2 linked regions of the Callithrix jacchus genome follow. The protein of the gene in region 1 purifies or fractionates together with the protein of each later gene. This does not show direct contact. Links are inferred from orthologs where the notes say so. Each region holds a gene or a part of one and is shown on either strand. Other genes may lie near its edges.

Region 1 (9,661 bases):
GGTTGCCACCATGCCTAGCAGAGACGGACAGAGGCAGTTTACTCCAGAATGCGGCCGCTGCAGATGTTCCCCGCAACGTTCCGGAAATGGAATGGCGGGAGCCTCATCCTCGCTGCCCACCGCCCCGCCGGAAGCGGAAACAGAATCCCCGTGTGCCCCTTCCTCACTGCCCTCCAAATCCCGCTGCAGCCATTGCGGCAGCCACGATGCCGAAACGAAAGAAGCAGAATCAGCACCAGCCACCATCACAGCAGCAGCCCCCACTGCCCGAGCGGGAAGATACTGGAGATGAGGAGGATGGGAGTCCCATCGGTGAGGGGTCGGGGAGGGACGTGCACATGCCTGTCAGCCCGTCCGGGCGAGGGGCTAGGGGCTGGTAAGGTGCAAAGGAGGGGGCTGTAACGGAAGGAGGAAGGGCGCACGCGCTGGGGAGGAATGGAAGGGGCTGTCCCAAATGGAGCCTTGAACGAGGAGTTCTCTTACTGGAACCATCAACCTCAAACTGGCCCCAAACCTTTCTGGAGAAGGCGGGGGTGGCGAGAATAAAGAGCTCTTTTGCGCAGTCGCAGAACAATAGGGGAAAGGGACAGTAGAGATGTTGCAGATTGTGATGACTGGGATGACAGTTTGTATCCAGACTGACTGAAGAGGTGCAGGTGCAGCTTTCTCTGAACTAGTCCTCTGGCCAAGGGGAAGGAGAAGAGAATTGACTGGCCAGCAGTTGAGGGATTGGTTTATGTCTGGAGACACTTGGATTGTTTTGGATAGCGACGGTACGGTGAGGAAAAGAAAAAGTTTTGTCTTTTCCTGCATTATCCCCTTTGATTGAATATCTACTCTTTGCAAACCCGAAACAGCTTTGCAGAAAAAAGCGCAGGTAGATGGGGTGAGAACTCCTAAGACTGCTGAAAATATACCTGACTTTACTGGTTGAATTAAGAAATGAGTAATAGAAGAAAAACACCTAAGAACAGAATCATCAGTCCCTTAATCCATTCTGATGACCGTATTTTCATGTCTGCTCTTAGGACCACCCAGCCTTCTGGGCCCTCCCCCCATGGCCAATGGAAAACCTGGTGACCCTAAGTCAGGTGAGGAGGAAGGGGCCCTGATCCTTGTATTAGGTCGTGGAGAAGAGAGCAAGGGAGGGGATAAAACCCAGAAAGGACTTAAAAATCAAAAGATCAGGGATTCCATACCTAAATGAATGGAGAAAAGTTGTATATTTGCTGATTGAAAAACTCGATGTTGTTAAAATGTCACTTCTTCCCAAACTGATGTATAGATTTCATGCATTCCAAGCCAGAATATCTACAGTGTTTTTGTAGAAATACACATTTTTATAGGGAAATGCAAAATATCAAGGTGAGAGACTGTCAAGATGATCTTGAAGTGGGAAGGCTTGCTATGAATATCAAGATTTGTAAGCTGGGCATGGTGTCACATGCCTATAGTCCTAGCTACTCAGGAGACTGAAGTGGGAGGATCGTTTGAGGCCAGCCTGGGCTACATAGTGAGACCCTGTCTCTAAAAACAAGAGAAAAAGACTATAAAGCTATAATAGTTACAACGATGCAGTTTGGACACAATTATAGACATAAGTCAACAGGACTTAGGTCCTGAAGACTCCAATAACAGACCCATACATGTGTGGACACTTCCTTTATGATGAAGATGGAACTGAAAAGTTGGTCTTTTCAATAAATGATACTGGATCACTTGGATATTCATGTAAAAAAATGGAATTTCACCTTGCACTCATAATCATATATAAAGATCTATTTCAAATGGACTGTAGATTTAAGTATAAAAGGTAAGAGAGGCCAGGTGCGGTGGCTCACACCTGTATTCCCAGCACTTTGGCGGGCCGAGGCGGGCAGATCACCTGAGGTTGGGAGTTTGAGACCAGCCCGACCAACATGGAGAAACCCTGTCTCTACTAAAAATACAAAATTAGCAGGGCATGGTGGCACATATTCCCAGCTACTCAGGAGGCTGAGGCAGGAGAATCACTTGAACCCGGGAGGCAGAGGTTGCAGTGAGCCAAGATTGCACCACTTGCACTCCAGCCTGGGCAACAAGAGCAAAACTCCATCTCTAAAAAAATTAATAAATAAAAGGTAAGAGAATAATTATTCTAGACAATAAATGGGCTGGGTGCAATAGCTCATGCCTGTAATCCTAGCACTTTGGGAGGCCGAGGTGGTGGATCACCTGAGGTCAGGAGTTCAAGACCAGCCTGGCCAACGTGGTGAAACCCCACCTTTTAAAAAAAAAAAAAGAAAGTAAATGTATTTTCATGCTCTAAGAGTTCTTAAACAGACCAGAAATGCCCATATACATACTAACCATAAAGGAAAGATTGGTAAATTGAACTGTTAGAAAATATAAACTTGCTAAATGACACCATCAAGAAATTAACAGGAAACCATACAGTAGAAGATAATGGCAACAAATATAACCAATAGGCGGGGCGTGGTGGCTCACACCTGTAATCCAAGCACTTTGGAGGCCAAGATGGTCGGGAGTTCAAGACCAGCCTGACCAACATGGTGAAACCCCGTCTTTTTAAAAAAAAAAATACATATATATATATATAACCAATAAAGAGCCTGTATCTATAATACATAAATAACCTTTCCAGACAAGCTATTTGAAAAACTGACAAAAGACCAGAACAGTTACCTTATTAAAATGCAGATATAAACTAATGATCTAAATGAATAAGCATCAACATCATTAATAAATGCAAGACAAAAATATACCACTTTGAAATTAGAACTCTTGGCCAGGTGTGGTGGCTCACACCTGTAATCCCAACACTTTGGGAGGCTAAGAAAGGTGGATCACCTGAGGTCAGGAGTTTGAGACCAGCCTGGCTAACACAGTGAAACCCTGTCTCTGCTGGAAATACAAAAATTAGCCTTGAACCCAGGAGACAAAGGTTTTTTTTTGTTGTTGTTGTTGTTGTTTTATTTATTTTATATTTTTATTTATCCCTGTAATCCCAGCTACTTGTGGGGCTGAGGTAGGAGAATCACTTGAACCCAGGAGGTAGAGGTTGCAGGAGGTGGAGATCATGCCATTGCACTCCAGCCCGGGCAACAAGAGTGAAACGCTGTCTCAAAAAAAAAAAAAAAGAAAGAAAGAAATTAGAACTCTGTGTACTGCTGCTGAGATTATAAAATGGTAAACCTACTATAGAAAACAATATGAAGATGTTCCTCTAAAACAATTAAAAATAGAACTACTCAGAACTCCTGCTTCTGGATATATATCCAAAAAAAAATGGAAAACAGGGTCTTGAGATTTGCAGACTCATGTTCATAGCAGCAACCCACATATCCAATGATGAAAAAAAAATGTGGTGTGTACATACAATGGAATATTATTCAGCCTTATGATGGAAGAAAATGCTGTCATATACTACAACATGGATGAACTTTGAGGACTTTATGTTAAGTAAAGACATAGTGTATGATTCCACTTATGTGAGGAGTCTGAAGTCAAATTCAGGGGCCAGGCATGGTGGTTCATGCCTGTAATCCCAGCACTTTGAGAGAGCGAGGCAGGCGGATCACTGAAGGTCAGGAGTTTGAGAGCAACCTGGCCAACATGGGGAAACCCCATCTCTACTAAATACAAAAATTAGCCCAGCATGGTGGTACACGCCTGTAATCCCAGCTACTCAGGTGGCTGAGGCACAAGAATTGCTTAAACCTGGGAAGTGGAGGTTGCAGTGAGCCGAGATAACACCTCTGCACTCCAGCCTGGGCAGCAGAGCAAGACTTTGTCTCAAAAAAAATTATAAAAATAAAGTCAAATTCAAAGAAACAGAATGGTGGTTACTAGAGGCTGGGGGAAGGAAGATGGAAGAAGGGGAGTTTTGTTTAATGGGAACAGTTTCATTCAGTTTTGCAAGATAAAAAACTTTTGGAGATCTGTTTCACAACAATATGAATATATGTAACTACTGAACTATATATACACTTAAAGACAGGTAAGATGGTAAATTTTATGTGTTTTTTAGCACAATAAAAAGCAAACAAGATGAGACATGATGACTCATACCTATAATCCTAGCACTTTGGGAGACCAAGGTGGGAGGATCATTTGAGCCCAGGAGTTCAAGACCAGCCTGGGCAATGTGGCAAGACCCAATCTCTCATTTAAAAAATTAAAACACCACTTTTCACACTCACCAGAATGGTAAAAATTAAAAAACAATACCAAGTGCTGTCAAGGCTAAAGGACAACTGCTGGTGAGAGTGCAAATTGGTACAACCACTACGGAAAAAAGTTTGGGCTCATGCCTGTAATCCTAGCACTTTGTGAGGCCGAGGTGGGTGGACTGCCTGAGCTCAGCAGTTTGAGACCAAGCCTGAGCAGCATGGCGAAACCCCGTCTCTACTAAAATACAAAAAGTTAGCTGGGTGTGGCAGTGTGCACCTGTAGTTCCAGCTACTCAGGAGGCCGAGGCAGGAGAATTGCTTGAACCCGGGAGGCAGGGGTTGCAGTGAGCCAAGATCATGCCACTGTACTCCAGCCTGGGCAACACAGTGAGACTCCATCTCCAAAAAGAAAGTTTGGCATTATGCATGAAACTTGAGCATAACGTACACTCTATGACCCAGCAATACCTCTACTGCATATATACTCAACAGAAATGCATACATATGTGTAACAACATGTATAAAAATGTTTATAGTGGAATTTCTCGTTATAGCCCCAAACTGGATACCACCCACAAGTCTATCTGCAGTAGAATGGATAAATAAGTTGTTGTGTATGCATGCAATGGGATACTACACTGCAGCGAAATGAATGAACTACTTCTACAGGCAACCTGGATGAATCACACAAACATGATGTTGAGCGAAAGGAGCCAGACATAAAAGAATGCAGACTGTATGATTCCATTTTTTGTGAAGTTCAAAAACAGGCAAAAACTAACCTATGCTGTCAGGATAGTGGTTACCTTTGGGGAGGAGGGTGGATAGTGGGAAAAGGGGCACAAGGGGAGGATCTACTGAGGTGCTAATAAGGCCTTATCATTTGGTGGCGGAAAGTCAAGTGTGTCTACTTTGTGATAATTGGGTTGTGCACTTAAAACTGGTGTGTGTTTATGTATGCTGTTCTTCAATAAAAAATTTTTTTAAAAATCAGGGCTTATTAGGATTAAGCTGCCCATTGGTCACCTTTTTTTTTTTTTTTCCTCTCTCCAGCTTTTCACAGAGGTCCTCCAGGATCAAGGGGACCATTGATTCCACCACTGCTGAGCCTCCCACCTCCTCCATGGGGTAGAGGCCCAATTCGGGGAGGCCTTGGCCCCAGGTCTAGCCCATATGGTCGTGGTTGGTGGGGAGTCAATGCTGAACCTCCTTTTCCGGGGCCAGGCCATGGGGGTCCCACCAGGGGAAGCTTTCACAAAGAACAGAGAAACCCTCGAAGGCTCAAAAGCTGGTCTCTTATCAAGAATACCTGCCCGCCCAAGGATGACCCCCAGGTTATGGAAGGTGAGGTCCATTTTGTTATGCCCCTTACTCCCAGAGTGACAGAACATTCATGATCATCTCTGGGCTTTCCTTGTTTGCTTTTGAAGCAGAAATAGACCTGAATGTTATTTCTCCCAGAGGAAAGACTACCATTTCAAAATACCTGGAAATGGTAGGGGTAGGAAATCTGTCCTCCTTTTGTCTCTGCTTTTCATTATATTTGTTTTCTTTCTTGCTCAAATTTTTAAATGTTCAATTTTCACTTGTTCACAGACAAATCTGACCGCCCTGTCTGCCGACATTTTGCCAAAAAGGGCCACTGTCGATATGAGGACCTCTGTGCCTTCTACCACCCAGGCGTCAATGGACCTCCCCTGTGAGACTGTGCCTTCCCATCCAGGCTGGAAGGAGCTCTCTGTGACCTAGTGGCAATGCATTTCCCTGTAGCCCTGTGATGGCTACTGTGAGGCTCTTCCAACACCCTCAGTCAGTGACGCACCCACCCCATCCGCCACCTCCCCAATTTGGGGTCCACAGTTGTGTTGTGTCACTGGTGCGAGGTGTATGCGCTTTCTTCTGATCCAGCCTGTAGAGACTCACCTTCGGGACCCATCTTTGCTCCCTTCAGTTGCCTCCTGGATCTTCTTTCCCGTCATCAAATGACTGCTGAACAGGAAACTTCTTTGGTGCTGTTTCTTGTGCATCTCTCCACCTGCTCCCCAGTACTGCCCTCAATTCCTGAGAGCCCTGGAGTGGTTTCTTACCATTCCCTTCTTCTAGCTGCTTGTTTTGTTTTAAGTCATTTTTATGTGACAACTCCTACCCCCAATGTTGTCAGCTGCTTGTGAAACTGCCAGGTTGTCTAACCTGGGGTCAGGTTTTGGTGACTGGTGCAGAGTTACTTCCTACAAGGCCACTCTCCCTACTTTTGGATTTCATAGTTTCTGTCAGTAGCATGAGCCCCACCACTATGGTCTGTGATCACCGTGCTTTGTGGAACTGTGCATCCCCTTGTAGCCTTTTTCAGTGTCCATGGCATTTTTGTGACTTCCCAACACTAGAGTAAGTTTTTCTGCCAAAATGAGTGAGGCTCTTGGTGCCCTCTAGCCTTTCCCACCTCCCAACGTGGGAGAATTGTGAACTTTCCATCAAACTGCTTCCCTGGCCCTCCCCATTCTCCTGTTGGTTATTCTGGGTCTGACACAGGCCCTTGAGATGTCATGTAAAGCCTCCAGTGGCTTTATCCTACCTAGATCCCTTCTAGCCCATTTTAGTTAGACTGTCATTGTGAATGCACCAGTCATTTCATTTGAATTCTGTGAATCTCCACCTTGCCTATGTTTGGGTGGAAACTGGACAGTACTGTTGCCCTCTTCCAACCCCTCTTCCCCTACATCCTGGTACTGGTTGTTTTCTGTGAAAACAGCAGTGAACAGGTTCCGTTTTGAACTGACCCTGAGGAAGTGAGTCAGGAGCTGTACTGGCAAGAGGGAGGGGATGAGAGCTATTGGAGAACTGAGAATGAGGTTTTTTTTTCTTTTTAACATTTTTTTATATTAGTAATAAACGCAGTGGAAACCAGCATTTTCTTTAATCCCTGTGTTCTAGTCATCTCTGGAGATGCAGATGAAGCTGTTCTTACCTGGTGGAGTCAGCTCATTCTAGTTGAATGAGCTGACTAGAATGTTCATACATTCCCCATCAGTAGTTCATATACACTAGTGATGGGGAATGACACAATTTAAGGTTCTTTCAGGCTGAAAGAACCAATGGGGGTTCCATTAGCCTGTAGGCTTCAATCAGACCAAGCTGCCTTATGTTCAAGGGCAAAGTTTTGTAGGAAAAAGGAAAGGCCAGGTGTCCCTGGAGTTATTTTTAAACATTTTGCTTTATGGAGTTTTGTGTTTATGAAGTGGTTAATGATGGAGTCTTTCAGCAACAATTTGCAGAGTGTCTGTGGGCCAAGCAATATACTAAGCACTAGAGATAACTGACAGCCAAAGCCAATTTATTTAAAATGTACAGGGAAGACCAGTTTATCAAATAATCACAAATAGCATGTGAAGTTAAACCTGTCAAAAGTGGTGGGAAGAAGACAGGGTGAAAGGGAAGTGTGTAATAAAGGGAGTCAGGGAAGGGGATGCAGCTGAGACATGCTCCAAAGGAAAAACAGGAGGTTTTCGCTAAAAGACCAAGGGGAAGAGGAGCTAAGAAACCTAGGGACAGTGGGAGGTGACACAGAAGACCTCCAGACCACTCAGGGCCTTGGAGAACATGAAAATGTGGCTCTTTTCTTAGAATTGAAGGCTTTGGAGAATTCTAGACAGGTGAGTATCATGGCTTAGGTTGGCTTTTCAAAAAAATCAGCTTGTATGGAAAGGGCCAGCCTTGGACCTGGAAGTTAGTTAGAAGCTACTGGCTACTTCAGTAGTACAAGTGATGAAACAGACTTGGGTAGCAGAGGTGGAAAAAAGTGGGCATTTGAAAATTACTGGTCAAAACAAAGTATCAGATTTCACCACATAGTTCTGGCTTATGTAGCTGCCATTTAAAAAGAAAAGTATTGGGCCAGGAGCGGTGGCTCACAATTGTAATCCCAGCACTTTGAAAGGCCAAGGCGGGCAGGTCACGAGATCAGGTGTTCAAGACCTGATCAACAGGGTGAAACCCCTCAGGTCTCTATTAAAAATACAAAAATTAGCCAGGCATGGTGGCGCATACCTGTAATCACAGCTACTTGGGAGGCTGAGGCAGGAGAACCGCTTGAACCCAGGTGGCAGAGGTTGCAGTGAACTACGATCTCACCACTGCACTCCAGCCTGAGCGACATAGCGAGACTGTCTCAAAAAATATATATTGGCTAGGCACGGTAGCTCATGCCTATAACCCCAGCACTTTTGGGAGGCTGAGGCAGGAGGATTGCTTGAGCTCACAAGTTCAAGACCTGCTTGGGCAACAGCAAGATCGTCACAGTTTAAAGTGAAGATCTTGTCTCTACTAAAAATAAATTAGCCAGGAGCAGTGGCACACAGCTGTAGTCCCAGCTACTCAGGAGGCTGAGACGGGAGGATCACTTGAGCCCAGGAGGTCAAGGCTGCAGTGAGCCATGATCATGTCACTGTACTCTAGCCTGGGCAACAGAGTGAGACCCTGTCTCAAATAAATAAATAAAAATTGTGTGGCCGGGCACGGTGGCTCAAGCCTGTAATCCCAGCACTTTGGGAGGCCAAGGCTGGTGGATCACGAGGTCAACAGATCGAGACCATCCTGGTCAACATGGTGAAACCCCGTCTCTACTAAAAATACAAAAAATTAGCTGGGCATGGTGCTGCGTGCCTGTAATCCCAGCTACTCAGGAGGCTGAAGCAGGAGAATTGCCTGAACCCAGGAGGCGGAGGTTGCAGTGAGCCGAGATCGCGCCATTGCACTCCAGCCTGGGTAACGAGCGAAACTCCGTCTCAAAAAAAAAAAAAAAAAAAAAAAATGTACAAATGTCCCATTAGAAAATAGGCAGAATGCCGCTAATTAGCTTTTGGCATGGTTGAGTCTGAGATGCCTTTTAAGACATTCAAGCAGAGATATAAAGTAGGTAGTTGCATATACAGATTTTGGTGTTGAGATTAGAACTAGAGACAAATCTGAGTTATCTGTATATAAGTGCCAGTTGAGGCCATGAGCATGGATGTATTTGTTCACTCTAAGTGTTAAGTACCTGCAATGTCCCCGTTCATCAGGTTTAGGTTCACTTGTAATAGAAACCCCAAATTAGTCTTAAGATAGAAGTTTATTTCTCTCACAGGTCAAGAGGTAGACAATCCAAGATATGTGACAATGCCACCACTACAAGATCCCTGAGTATTCAGAACCTCAACCCCCAGGTTCTAGATTCACAATCACAAACTTCTATTCACAGGTTAAAGTGAAGATCTAGCTTCCTCGTCCATATTCAAACCCTTAGGATGAAAGAAGGGCCAAGAATACCAGTTGTCTGGGAAGAAACTTCTTCAAAATTAACTTACAGCTCTTCAACTTACAGGCAAGCATTTAAGTTGAGTTTATTAATTCTACAGAGGTTATCTCCCTAAAAGAGGGCTTCTAGGAATGACAGGATTAGGGTTTGTGTTCGTTGATTTCAAAAGAAGCAGGAAATTGTTCTGGCTTAGATG
Region 2 (11,056 bases), about 6.2 Mb from region 1:
TCACTTATGCTGAGGGTAGCCTCAGGCCCTCCCCCAGCTGGAACCCTGGAGCTACCCCCTAGCTCTTCATCTTCATCATCCTCACAGGTCAACACCAGGTCTTCCTCCTCTTCTTCCTCCTCCAGATCTGGGTCTTGGGGAACCAGGGGTGCTGGTGCTGGGCAATTACCACCTCGCTTCACATATACCCAGTGTTTCTGTGGCATGATGCTAGGGGGTGTGTAGGTGGGTCTCCTGAGCCCAGTCCCAGGGACCACTGCCCCCCTTCCATCCCCACCGTCATCGCACAGTTCATCTGCCTCCAGCAGCAGCTTCCCAGAGGTGGCGCCCCCACTGCCAACGACAGGGGCTGGGAATACAGGGCCACCTCCTCGACGCTCCCCACTGCCCACTGCAGAAGCTGCAAATGCCTCTTGGGAGGAAGATGAGAAATCAGTGGACTCCCTGGGGCTGAAGTAGTTGCTGCTGCTGGGAGACTGATTCTCACTGGCTCGGCTGGAGGCATGGGAGCGCACAGAGCCCATGGTAGAAGGGACCACAGTGCCCCCACTCCCGGATGGGACCCCAGCACCAGGGACAGTGACAGAGGTGGCTGCAGCAGTAGTGACGGTGGTGGTAGCTGAAGCCCGGCCTTCTCGGAGTAGTTCAGTGCACTTGTCCACAATGTGCCACATTTGGAGCACAGACCCCACCGTGAGGAAGTTGACAATGTCAGCAGCAGCCATGCTAAGGCGGCCAGTGTAAGCGGAAGCTAGGACAGTCTCGAAGGCGCCTGGGTCCATGACACTGGGCAGCGAGATGGAGGTCATGCCCTTGAGTAGGACCTGATCATGGAAGTAAGGGGAGGAGGCAGCCAGCACAGCCCGATGAGCCCGGAACTCCCGGCCCTGTACTCGGATAGACACATCACAGAGCTGGCCCTGAAGACGCTGCTGATTGAGGGACTCCAGGAGGGCACTGGTCACCTCAGGGAAGGACACATGTACCACTGCAGCTGCTGGCAGGGGTAGTGGGGGTGGAGCCAGCGACAGCGGCAGGGGGAGTGCTGCCCCACTGGGAGACAGAGGAGATGGCTCCATGTTGTGGAGGGAGGGGATACCCCCCCAGCCACAGGTACAAAGGAAGGAGGAGGGCGGCCGGGGGGGTCTCTGGGAAGAAAGAGAGAAAATAATAATGATAAATCTCATAATGACACAGCCAGTTTACACTCATTATCTGCGTAATTCCCCACAACCGTGTGGTATTACTCTCAACCCCATTTAACAGAGGAGGAAACTAAGGCTCAGAAAGATTAAGAGATTATTCAAGGTCACACAGTCAGTAAGTGGCGGCGCTAGCAAACACAAGTATCTGACAAATCCTGAGCCCTTTCCTTGGAGATTATAGAGAAAGAAGGCGCTCTTAGGGGCTGGTGTGCCTTCTTCGGAATTATACCCTATTTCCCATTTACCTGAGCGCCTGACATTCCAAAATCTACCTTTTTGGCGTTTGTACCCATTTTTTGGGAGGGGGCAGGGCAGCTCCTCTACTGAAAACCAACCCTCTGTTCAATCTCCCCCTCAGGCTATGCCCCCCAGCTCTCTCGCCGACCACGCCCCCTTTCGCCCCAGCTCCTACCTAGCCCCGCCCCTTTCCAGGCTCGCCCCGTGCCCCGCCCACTTTCGGGCCTTTCGACCCCGCCCCTTGTCTAACCTCCGCCCACACCGGACCCCGCCCCCCCCCCCCGCTCCGCCCCAGGCGCTACCTCGGCCTCTTCTCCCACCCGGAAGGCGCCCCCCAACCTCGCGCGTCCCCGCTTACCGGGCCGCGCGCCCCCGGGCCCCCCCCGCCCCTCACTCGGCGGCCAGAGCTGCAGCCTGAGCCCCTCCCGCCGCCATCTTGCGCCGACTCCCTCCGCCCTCCGCCTCCGCTCCGCCTCCCGCCCCTCCGACTTTAAAGGCACAGCCGGGCACCCCGCCCGCGCCGCTGGGCAATACTCGGCCGACTCGGCCACTTTGCCTTTAAAGAACCGTCGCCTCATTCCACCTTAAAGGATCAGGTCCCCTCCTCCGCTGGGAACTCAGGACTTGGTTCGGCCGAAGCATTTATTCCCCTTTAAAGCTACAAGCCTGCCTTTTCCCATTGGCGACGGGTCCAGGCACCGTTCCCCAGGCTCCGCCTCTGAGCTGTGACCATTAGCTGGTTGGTGAGATCTAATCGCCTCCTTCCTAGCTCCTGACATTTCCCCTGAAGCCCCGCCCCCCGTCTCCGGGCCTGGATTGGCCGAATAACCTTGAGTCGGTCTCTCATTGGCTTTTTCACTCCAACTGCAAGAACTGAAAAAGTAAAGTGCGTTAAGGCGGCTGAAGCACTTTAAAAAAAAAAAGTACAGCCTGAAAAACATGGCGAAACCCCGTATCTACAAAAACTACAAACGACAAAAATTAGCAAAGTGTGGTGGCGCGTGCCTGTAGTCCCAGCTACTGGGGAGGCTGAGGCATTATCACTTGAGACCGGGAAGTCCAGGCTGCAGTGAGCTGTGATCACACCACTGCACTCTGGCCTGGGTGATAAGATGAGACACAAAAAAAGAAAGAAAAAAAAAGACCAGGTTAGAAAGGACAGATCAGGACTACCCCGGGAACATCGGGCAAACCATGAGCAAGGAAAGGGACAGCTAATGCCAATCCATGACCACAGAAGGAAAAGACAGTGATACAATAAGAAAAGAAGTTTATTGTTTATTAATGTTTCTGTGTAAAACTTAAGTTTTTTTTTTTTAAAAGAAACACCAACAGGGGATTAGCTCAGTCCATCCTTTGCTCAGTCATCTGCTTCCCACCATCCTCCAAATGCTATCCCAAAACATTTTGGAGGCAGGGAGAAGGGGAGGCAGCTAATCAGAGTCTGAAAGCACGATGATCTCCTCTGGATCACACTGTGTGGCCACACTCGTCTGCAGGGAAGTGAGAGACAGAGTCAGAGAGATATGGAGTACAGGGGAAAAGAAACAGACAGGAGGATTTAGAGGATAAAACGTAGGTGGGAAAAAGCGAGACAGAGAATGTGGAGGGTGAAATATTCAGACAGAGCAGCTGAAACAGACAATGAAAGAGAACAAATTATCAGAGGAAACCCAGCCTCCCCTTCTTACCTTGTAAGTACCAGGCTGGGGAGGTTGTGACTGGGGGGTTTGGGACAGCCGGGCTGGAGAAGGGACGCAGAGGGAGCTGGTCACAAGGCCATGGCTGGGAGAGTCTACCCTTGTGGAGGAATCAGCAACCGGGGCCAAGGAAGCCAAGGGGGAAGGTGGGCTGGGCAGGGTACATATCTTTTTCCCATTCTTCTCATGCACTGACCTTCGCCTTTCCACATAGCTAGGAACAGAAACATAAATATGTGGAGGGGTACAGGAAGACTGAGGCTGGAGGGAAACAGTCCAGTCTCTCCCAACAGACTCAGTTCCCCCATATTCCTCTCCGAAAGTCCCCTGCAATCCCTCCTTTCAGGGAACTCTTCCTCCTCCTTCCCTCTTCCTCCTCCTGTTGTTATTACCTGTTTCCTAATGGCCCTGATCCTGTTTGCTTCTTCTCCTTCCGAGATTTTTTGCAGGGGGGGCCAGAATCTCCCCAGTTGTGAGGAGAGACGCCTCCATTGAAGGAAGTAGAAGAGACCATGCCTGCCCCATTCTCTAAAACAGTGGTGAGGGAGTCCTCTGACTGCTTCCTGGAAGAGGAAATGTCCGTCTCCACAGAGGAAGGGGTGGTATCCAGGGGCAAAGCTTCAATCTCTAGCTCAAAGAGCTGAGATATAGGGCTTTCTTCCTCCAGGGTCAACTCCTCAGGCCGTTCTCCATTGCTTTCAGCATCTATGCTGGAGGGGGCCAGGGGTTCTTCTGACAGTAATGATGGTGACACTGTGAGTCCTTCATTTTGCTGCTCCCCTGAAGACCTGCTGATCTCTTTGCCAGGTTCCAGGTTCTTTTCAGTAGAGATCTGTGGTGAAGACACAGGGCTCCTGTCTCCACCTTTATCTGGAAAAGAAGAAAAGGAGAGGGGGTAGCTTGAGAATGAGGGGAAAAAATACTGCTGAGAGGACACTAGGAGGAGGAAGGAAAAGGTCTCAAACAGGTGGCTTATGCCTAAGAAAACAGAAATGACAGGTGTGGATAATGTTTCCTTGACTTACCTGCTTCTTCCTCTTCCTCTTCTTCCTCCTCTTCATCGTCCTCCTGACCATCCTGCATCTGTTCCAGATCCTCCTCCTCTTCAGAATCTGTGGCCTCCTCCTCTTCCTCCTCCTCCTCCTCCTCCTCCTCCTCTTCCTCATCACTTTCCTCATCTTCATCATCTGTCTCAGCTCTGGAGGTGGAAGGGCACCCCTGGGATGCCATTCCACTAGGGCCCTGGGGACAAAGAAGTTTCTCTAAGGAATCCCTTGCCCCAGAGGGTTTGATTCTTGCATTCCTTTTCATACTCCCCCATCAGTCAACCTGGACTCCCTGGTGGCCAGTGCAGGGGAAGGAGAAAGTCTCTCTGAAGGCTGTACCCCATCCACACCTCACCAGAATCCAAGGAGGCATTGGGGATGTCTGCAGAGGAGGAACAGGTGCCTTGGAGCCGAGCTCTTCTCTTTTTCCTCTCGCCCTCCTCACTTTTGTCTTGCAACATTGCATATTTGGAGATGACCTCATCCAACCGACTCATGGCCAAACTCCGGTTTTCCCGAAGGCGCCGGGCCAACACAGGATCTGACAGCGCAGGGTCAATGCCTACATGGGAAGACATAAAGTCAGAGCACTCAGCCCTTGAAGGGCCTAGAAGAGTACAAACCCTAGAAAGGACTAGAGAGATGCCCCATCCGCCTCATACCTGACAATATAAAGGTCACTGACAGGTATCCCACTAACCCCCTACCTGGCCTATAGTCATCTGTGAGGTGGCAGCCAAAGTTGTAGATGAGATCGAGGTGCCGTCGTTCCTGTAACCTGATGCCCACATCTCGGAAGGCATCCTGAGCCATGAGCTGGAGTTGCTGTCGGGGGAGGCCAAGGCTGTGGCGAGCAGCTGCCTTCTCCACTGCCCGAAGCACATCTCCATAGTCAGGGAAGGTATCAGGCCCTGGCTTGTTGATGAGCCGCTCAATGCGCCTGTTAACCTCTGGGTAGCGGGTACCACGGTAGGGGATGCGCTGCTCTATGACACGGCCCGTCAGTGAAGAGCAGTCTTTCAGCTCACATAGTCGCCCAAAGAGGCGGATCAGCTTACGCTTCAAGCGTGCCTCCTGCAGGTATGTGGAGTCTGGGTCGTCCAATTCCGAGAGATCTAACTCCTTTTCCTGCAGCCGCCGGATCTCTGCCACATAGAGTGCCAGCAGCTGCTCCAAGCGCTGGATCTGCCGCCGGGAACCACGGGTCCTTGGGGCCTCAGAGGCAGTGTTTTCAGCATTTGTGGGGTCCAAGGAGAGGTGTGTGGGAGAGTTATTCCCAGACGGCTCATTGGAGGTGGTGAGAGCAGGGGCCAAGTTCAGCTTCTTTTTGGCTGAGTGGGCCTTGAGAACAGTGCAGAGCTCATTAATGTAGACATAGAGCTTAGCTGGCCGGCTCTGGGCCCGAGATAGGACCCGAGAGAGGATGTTGCAGAACTCCGCCGAGGCCAAAAACAGAGAGTGGGCACGTTGCTGCCGGCTATAGAGGAATGGGACCACCTCAGGGTGGTCTGCTGTCTGCATCTTACAAAGTTCAAGGAACTGGAAGGTTCAGGGGAAGAAGGGAAGGGAAGAGAGACAAGGGAAGGGTTGAGAGAAAGGGGTGGTGGGGTTAGTGGGGAAGAAAGGACAGGAGAGCCAGTCAGCCATCCCCCTCCCTGGGGTACAAAAATCTTCCCACTAAAGCTCACCTCTTTGAACAGCTTCTCATTCTCCAACTTGTAGCATTTCTTGCCTCCCGAACTACTGCGTCCTCTGGCCCCATGAGGCTCAGAGGAGCTAGGGGCTTCTGCCTCAGGCGAGGCCGAACTGGGGAGTGGGTGGGAGGGCCCTGGCTGAGCAGCTGCTTCATCTTCGTCATCATCATCCAGCACAATGATGCTGTTAGCGGTGGCCATGGGGGATCAAATCCCCCAGACGGAGGAAGTGGTGGGGATTTCAGAATTCCTGCTGGAAGGGGATGGGGCCTCAGAATGATCCCCTCCAGCATTGCCCCATCCCTTCACCTCACACATTTTCCTAACTCCTTGGGTTTCAGTAACATCCATCCCTGACCAAAACTATCTTCACCACCTGATTTCAATAACCATTAGTTCTATATGCTTTTCGGGCTCTTCAAGTGGTGTGGGGAGGGCAAACCACCCCCACACCATAAGTTGCCACCTTCTGCTCCACCCCTCACGTCGATTTCCGGTCTTTCAGTTTCGTCTCTCCACTATTTCTCAGAGTTGGCAAGTTGAGTCTTCCTCCCACACTGCACCCCAAATCGTCCTGACACCCCCTTGTACAGATAACACACTCTTATGGGCGCCACCTTATGTATTTGCCACGTCTGTCCTCAAACATGTCAACCCCACACCCACCCCATCCTGAATGATCACCCCAACTTCTAGACTCTCTGAGGCAAAAGAGGTTCCCTCCCAACAGTCCGTTCTCTTTTCCCCTCCTTGAACTGGCTCCATATTTCACCCTCTGATGAGTCTCCTCAAACTGGGGCTTCAGGTTGAAGATATTTTACTCCAAGTCCCCTCCCTCTCACCCCACCCTAATTTTCCCCATTCTCTCTGTGACCTGATCAAAAGTACCCCCCAGCCTCCGCGCTGCGTTCTCCCGATTCCTCTTAGATCCCAACCCTGGGTCGAGCAGGTCCAGTAGACGCGCTTCCCGCCAAATCCCCCTCCCCCAGTTCAACCCCCGGCCGCCCCACTCCCTTTCAGGGATAGGAAGGTATCACAGCTTTCACCTCAGACCCAATGCCTGGCTCTCCCCCATACCCCTCCCCCGATATCCCCGCCCCTGCCTCTGGTCCCCGCACCGGCCGGCCCCCACCTCAGAAACGGTCTCTCGAGGCGACCCTCGCGGCTGATCTCAGAACCTCGCATGGTTCCCTCCGCCTTCCTTCCCCCTCCCACCGCAGGCCCCACTACGGACCGGAAGTCACAGAGTTTCCGCCTACAGGCAACTAAGCGCCGCCATATTGTCGTACGGAACCCAGTCTTTCTGTGGACGGAAGTGGCCGTAGGCCCGCCCCGTGAACACTTTCAGTGCCGCCCACATAGCGCTCTCTTTCAGATCGGAGTTTGTCTCCCCCAACCCAAGCTTCCCAAAGCAGCTGGGGGCCGCCATTTTGCCGTACGGCGCTGGCTAAACCCGGACTCCGGTGCGCAGCCAGTGGAGCTCTTTTCACCCGGTGCTTCTACGACTCTGCCAATCAGAAACTTCCTGCTTGGGGCCTAATCGCTGGCGAGTAGCATGTAGGGAGGACCGAGCCTCCTTTTCGAGCAGGGGCAGGGGAACCGTACAGGGTGGATAAGGAATTGGGCTTTCCAAAGCTGCGCAGGATTTCATGGAAGGGCAGAAGTCTCTTAAAAGGGAAGTAAAACCTTTTTATTTCAGCTGGGCTGTTGGCAAGCCTTCTGGCCCTGCTTTCCTGTCCCCCAGATTCCCAGATTCCCATTTCCAAGGCTTATTCGGCTGCTCCTTCCCCTTTCCCCGCTAGGCGGCGCGCTCCTTGCCGCTGTCCAGCAGTTGCTTCCACTGCCAGGGTCTGCGTCTCCCGATTGTTATAACACATGCATACAAATGAGCACAACGCGCCATGCAAAAGTGTTGTTATTATTATTATTGCTACTGTTGTTGATTTGCTTTTCAAGCTTCACCACAGAACTAATGGCCAACCAAACTGGTGGGACTCGAATGGTTCTGCTTCTCCGGAGGGGGTCCTCGAGGGGCCGTTTGTGCTGACCAGGAGGCCGTGCTTTGTCGTGGAGGCCCCCCCGCAGGGTCTGTGGATAGGCAATGATGGGGTGGGACTTGGAGGAGAGTCTGTGAGACGAAAATACCTTGGGTCTCCGCCTCCTCTTCTGGGAGAGCTGAAAAAAGAATAAAGGATGAAGAAACAAACTGATACTCACCTCGTTGAGTTTAGGGAGACTGTAGGGTGTCGTGGAGGCAAGGCTGTTTCCAGAGGTGAGCTTATGAGGAAACCAGAAATGTTAACAGGGTCCCAATCGTTGAGATTCCCACTTTCACAACATCTTGCCACTTAACTGGGGCCACAGAGGTCCTTAGATCCCTAACGCTGAGTCCCGGAATGGCAAACACCGTTCATTAAACAATCCCACATCACTTCTCTCCCGTTGTCAAAGTCTACAGCTTTCAAAATGGGAACATAAAACTCTCGGAGGGGACTGGGACTTGGGACATGTAAGGGATTTAATTTCCAGAACCTCAACTTTCCCAAAATTGGTCTTCGTAAGGAAACACCTGCGGTACAGCTTCTCATTCTTCACTTCTCCTTTTACAATACAGTCACCCTCTTAAGAGAAAAGGAAAACAAGTATAGTTCCTCCCCCCTCAAAACTATAGTTCTCAACCATGAAATCTCTGGGGTAATCTTACCTGTTTAAAATAAAGGGACATGTACCCTGTTTCTTTCACCAAGTCACCATGAACACCTATCTTTTTCCTTTCTTTTTCTTTTCTTTTCTTTTTTTTTTTTAAGACAGGATCAGCCGGGCGCTGTGGTTCATGCCTATAATCCTGGCACTTTGGGAGGCCTAGGCGGGTGGATCACGAGGTCAGGAGTTCAAGACCAGCCTGGCCAACATGGTGAAACTAAAAATACAAAAATTAGCTGGGCGTGGTGGTATGCCCCTGTAGTCCCAGCTACTTGGGAGGCTGAGGCAGGAGAATCGCTTGAATCTGGGAGCTGAAAGTTGCAGTGTGCCGAGATCACACCACTGCACTCCAGCCTGGCAACAGAGCAAGACTCCGTCCCAAAAAAAAAAAAAAAAGTTTTTTTTGTAGCAACAGGGTCTCACTATATTGCCCACACAGGTCTTGAGTTCCTGGCCTCAAGCAGTCCTCCCGCCTGAGTCTCTCAAAGTGCTGGGATTATGGGCATGAATGGCCACTCCCAGACTGCTATCTTATTAAAGAGTTCTTTTTTTTTTTTTTTTTTTTTTTTTTGAGACAGAGTTTCACTCTTGTTACCCAGGTTGGAGTGCAATGGCGCAATCTTGGGCTCACCGCAACCTCTGCCTCCTGGGTTCAGGCAATTCTCCTGCCTCAGCCTCCTGAGTAGCTGGGATTACAGGCACGTAAAGATTTCTTTTTAATGGTCATAAAAACGTGTATGATAGGCCGGGCGCGGTGGCTCACGCCTGTAATCCCAGCATTTTGGGAGGCTGAGGTGGGTGGATCACTTGAGGTCAGGAGTTGGAGACCAACCTGGCCAACATGGTGAAACCTCGTCTTAAAAAAAAAAAGTGTACGATCTTTATACTGTTTGAACATTCTGTTCCCATAATAATTGTAGCAGTAGCTCCTCCCAGAAGACTTTTAACAACTAGAGTCTTACAATCACAAGAAAGATATTTTTCATCTCCATTAACATATATGTATAGGCAGGAAGATATAAAAGATTGGTCAATAAAGGACTTTCAAGTATAAAAGCATAAAGTTTGGCTGGGCGTGGTGGCTCACGCCTGTAATCCCAGCTACTTGGGAGGTTGAGGAGGGTGGTTTACTTGAGGTCAGGAGTTCAAAACCAGCCTGGCCAACATGGTGAAACCCCGTATCTACTAACAATACAAAAAAATTAGCAGGACGTGGTGGTGAATGTCTGTAATCCTAGCTACTTGGGAGGCTGAGGCAGGAGAATTGCTTGAACCCAGGAGGCAGAGGTTGCAGTGAGCCAACATCATGCCACTGCATTCCAGCCTGGGTGACAAATCAAGACTTCATCTCAAAAATAAATAAATAAATAAAATAGAATAAAAGCATAAAGTTTGTGGGGAAGTGGAATGGTAGCAGGAGTTCAAAGAGAAAAGAAATGATAAAAGAAGAAAAGGAATGATTCCCAACTGGTAAGAACTTATTTATACTTTTTTTTTTTTGAGACAGGGTCTTGCTGTTGCCCAGGCTGGAGTGCAGTAGCACAATCTCAGCTCACTGCAACCTCCCCCTCCCAGGTTTAAGTGATTCTTCTGCCTCAACCTCCTGAGCAGCTGGGATTATAGATGCATACCACCATGCCTAGCCAATTTTTTGGTATTTTTTACTTTTTTCTTTTTTTTTTAGTAGAGATGGGATTTTGCCATGTTGGCCAGGCTGGTCTCAAACTCCTGACCTCAAGTGATCCACCCACCTTGGCCTCCCAAAGTGCTGGGATTATAGGCCTGAGCCACCGAGCCAGGCCTTATTTACACTTTTTTTTTTTTTTTTTTTTTTTAGATGGAGTCTCCCACTGTCACCCAGGCTGCAGTGCAGTGGCACAATCTTGGCTCACTGCAGTCTCCTAAGATAAAGCAATTCTCCTGCCTCAGCCTCCCAAGTAGCTGGGACTACAGGCATGTGCCGCCATGCCCAGCTAATTTTTTTGTATTTTTAGTAGAGACGGTGTTTCACCACTGTTGGCCTGGATAGTCTTGATCTCCTGACCTTATGATCCGCCCACCTTGGCTTCCCAAAGTGCTGGGATTACAGGCATGAGCCACCCCGCCTGGCCTATTTATACATTTTTTAATGGGTAGTAGTGGGTAACAAGTTACTATGGTTTTTTTTTTTTGAGACGGAGTAGCCCTCTGTCACCCATGCTGGAGTGCAGTAGCATGATCTTGGCTCACTGCAACCTCCACCTCCCAGATTCAAGCAATTCTCCTGCCTTAGCCTCCTGAGTAGCTGGGATTATAGGTGCTCACCACCACACCCAGCTAATTTTTGTATTTTTAGTAGAAACGGGTTTTTACCATGTTGATCAGGCTGGTCTAGAACTCTTGACCTCATGATCAGCCCGCCTTGGCCTCCCAAAGTGCTCGGATTACAGGCATGAGCCACCGATACTTCAATTGCCCTGGACAATAAATTG

Evidence for each region.
Region 2: the proteins of PRR3 (region 1) and DAXX purify together in Homo sapiens (co-immunoprecipitation; 3 studies listed by BioGRID and IntAct, with this or other methods). This does not show direct contact. The link is inferred for Callithrix jacchus from reciprocal best matches to the Homo sapiens genes PRR3 and DAXX.

What each region holds. Positions count from the first base shown.
Region 1 is NC_133505.1:35,352,477-35,362,137, forward strand, and holds PRR3 (proline-rich protein 3), read left to right. Parts: upstream 1-165; 5' UTR 166-206; coding exon 207-312; intron 313-1,028; coding exon 1,029-1,091; intron 1,092-5,225; coding exon 5,226-5,516; intron 5,517-5,768; coding exon 5,769-5,875; 3' UTR 5,876-7,076; downstream 7,077-9,661.
Region 2 is NC_133505.1:41,558,700-41,569,755, forward strand, and holds DAXX (death domain-associated protein 6), read right to left. Parts: upstream 7,108-11,056; 5' UTR 7,015-7,107; intron 6,136-7,014; exon of another isoform or gene 6,133-6,135; 5' UTR 6,084-6,132; coding exon 5,877-6,083; intron 5,728-5,876; coding exon 4,896-5,727; intron 4,751-4,895; coding exon 4,539-4,750; intron 4,385-4,538; coding exon 4,168-4,384; intron 4,013-4,167; coding exon 3,535-4,012; intron 3,357-3,534; coding exon 3,134-3,356; intron 2,936-3,133; coding exon 2,876-2,935; 3' UTR 2,696-2,875; downstream 1-2,695. Other genes in the region: ZBTB22 (zinc finger and BTB domain-containing protein 22), read right to left, coding at 1-1,079. UniProt on the Homo sapiens protein: Transcription corepressor known to repress transcriptional potential of several sumoylated transcription factors. Down-regulates basal and activated transcription.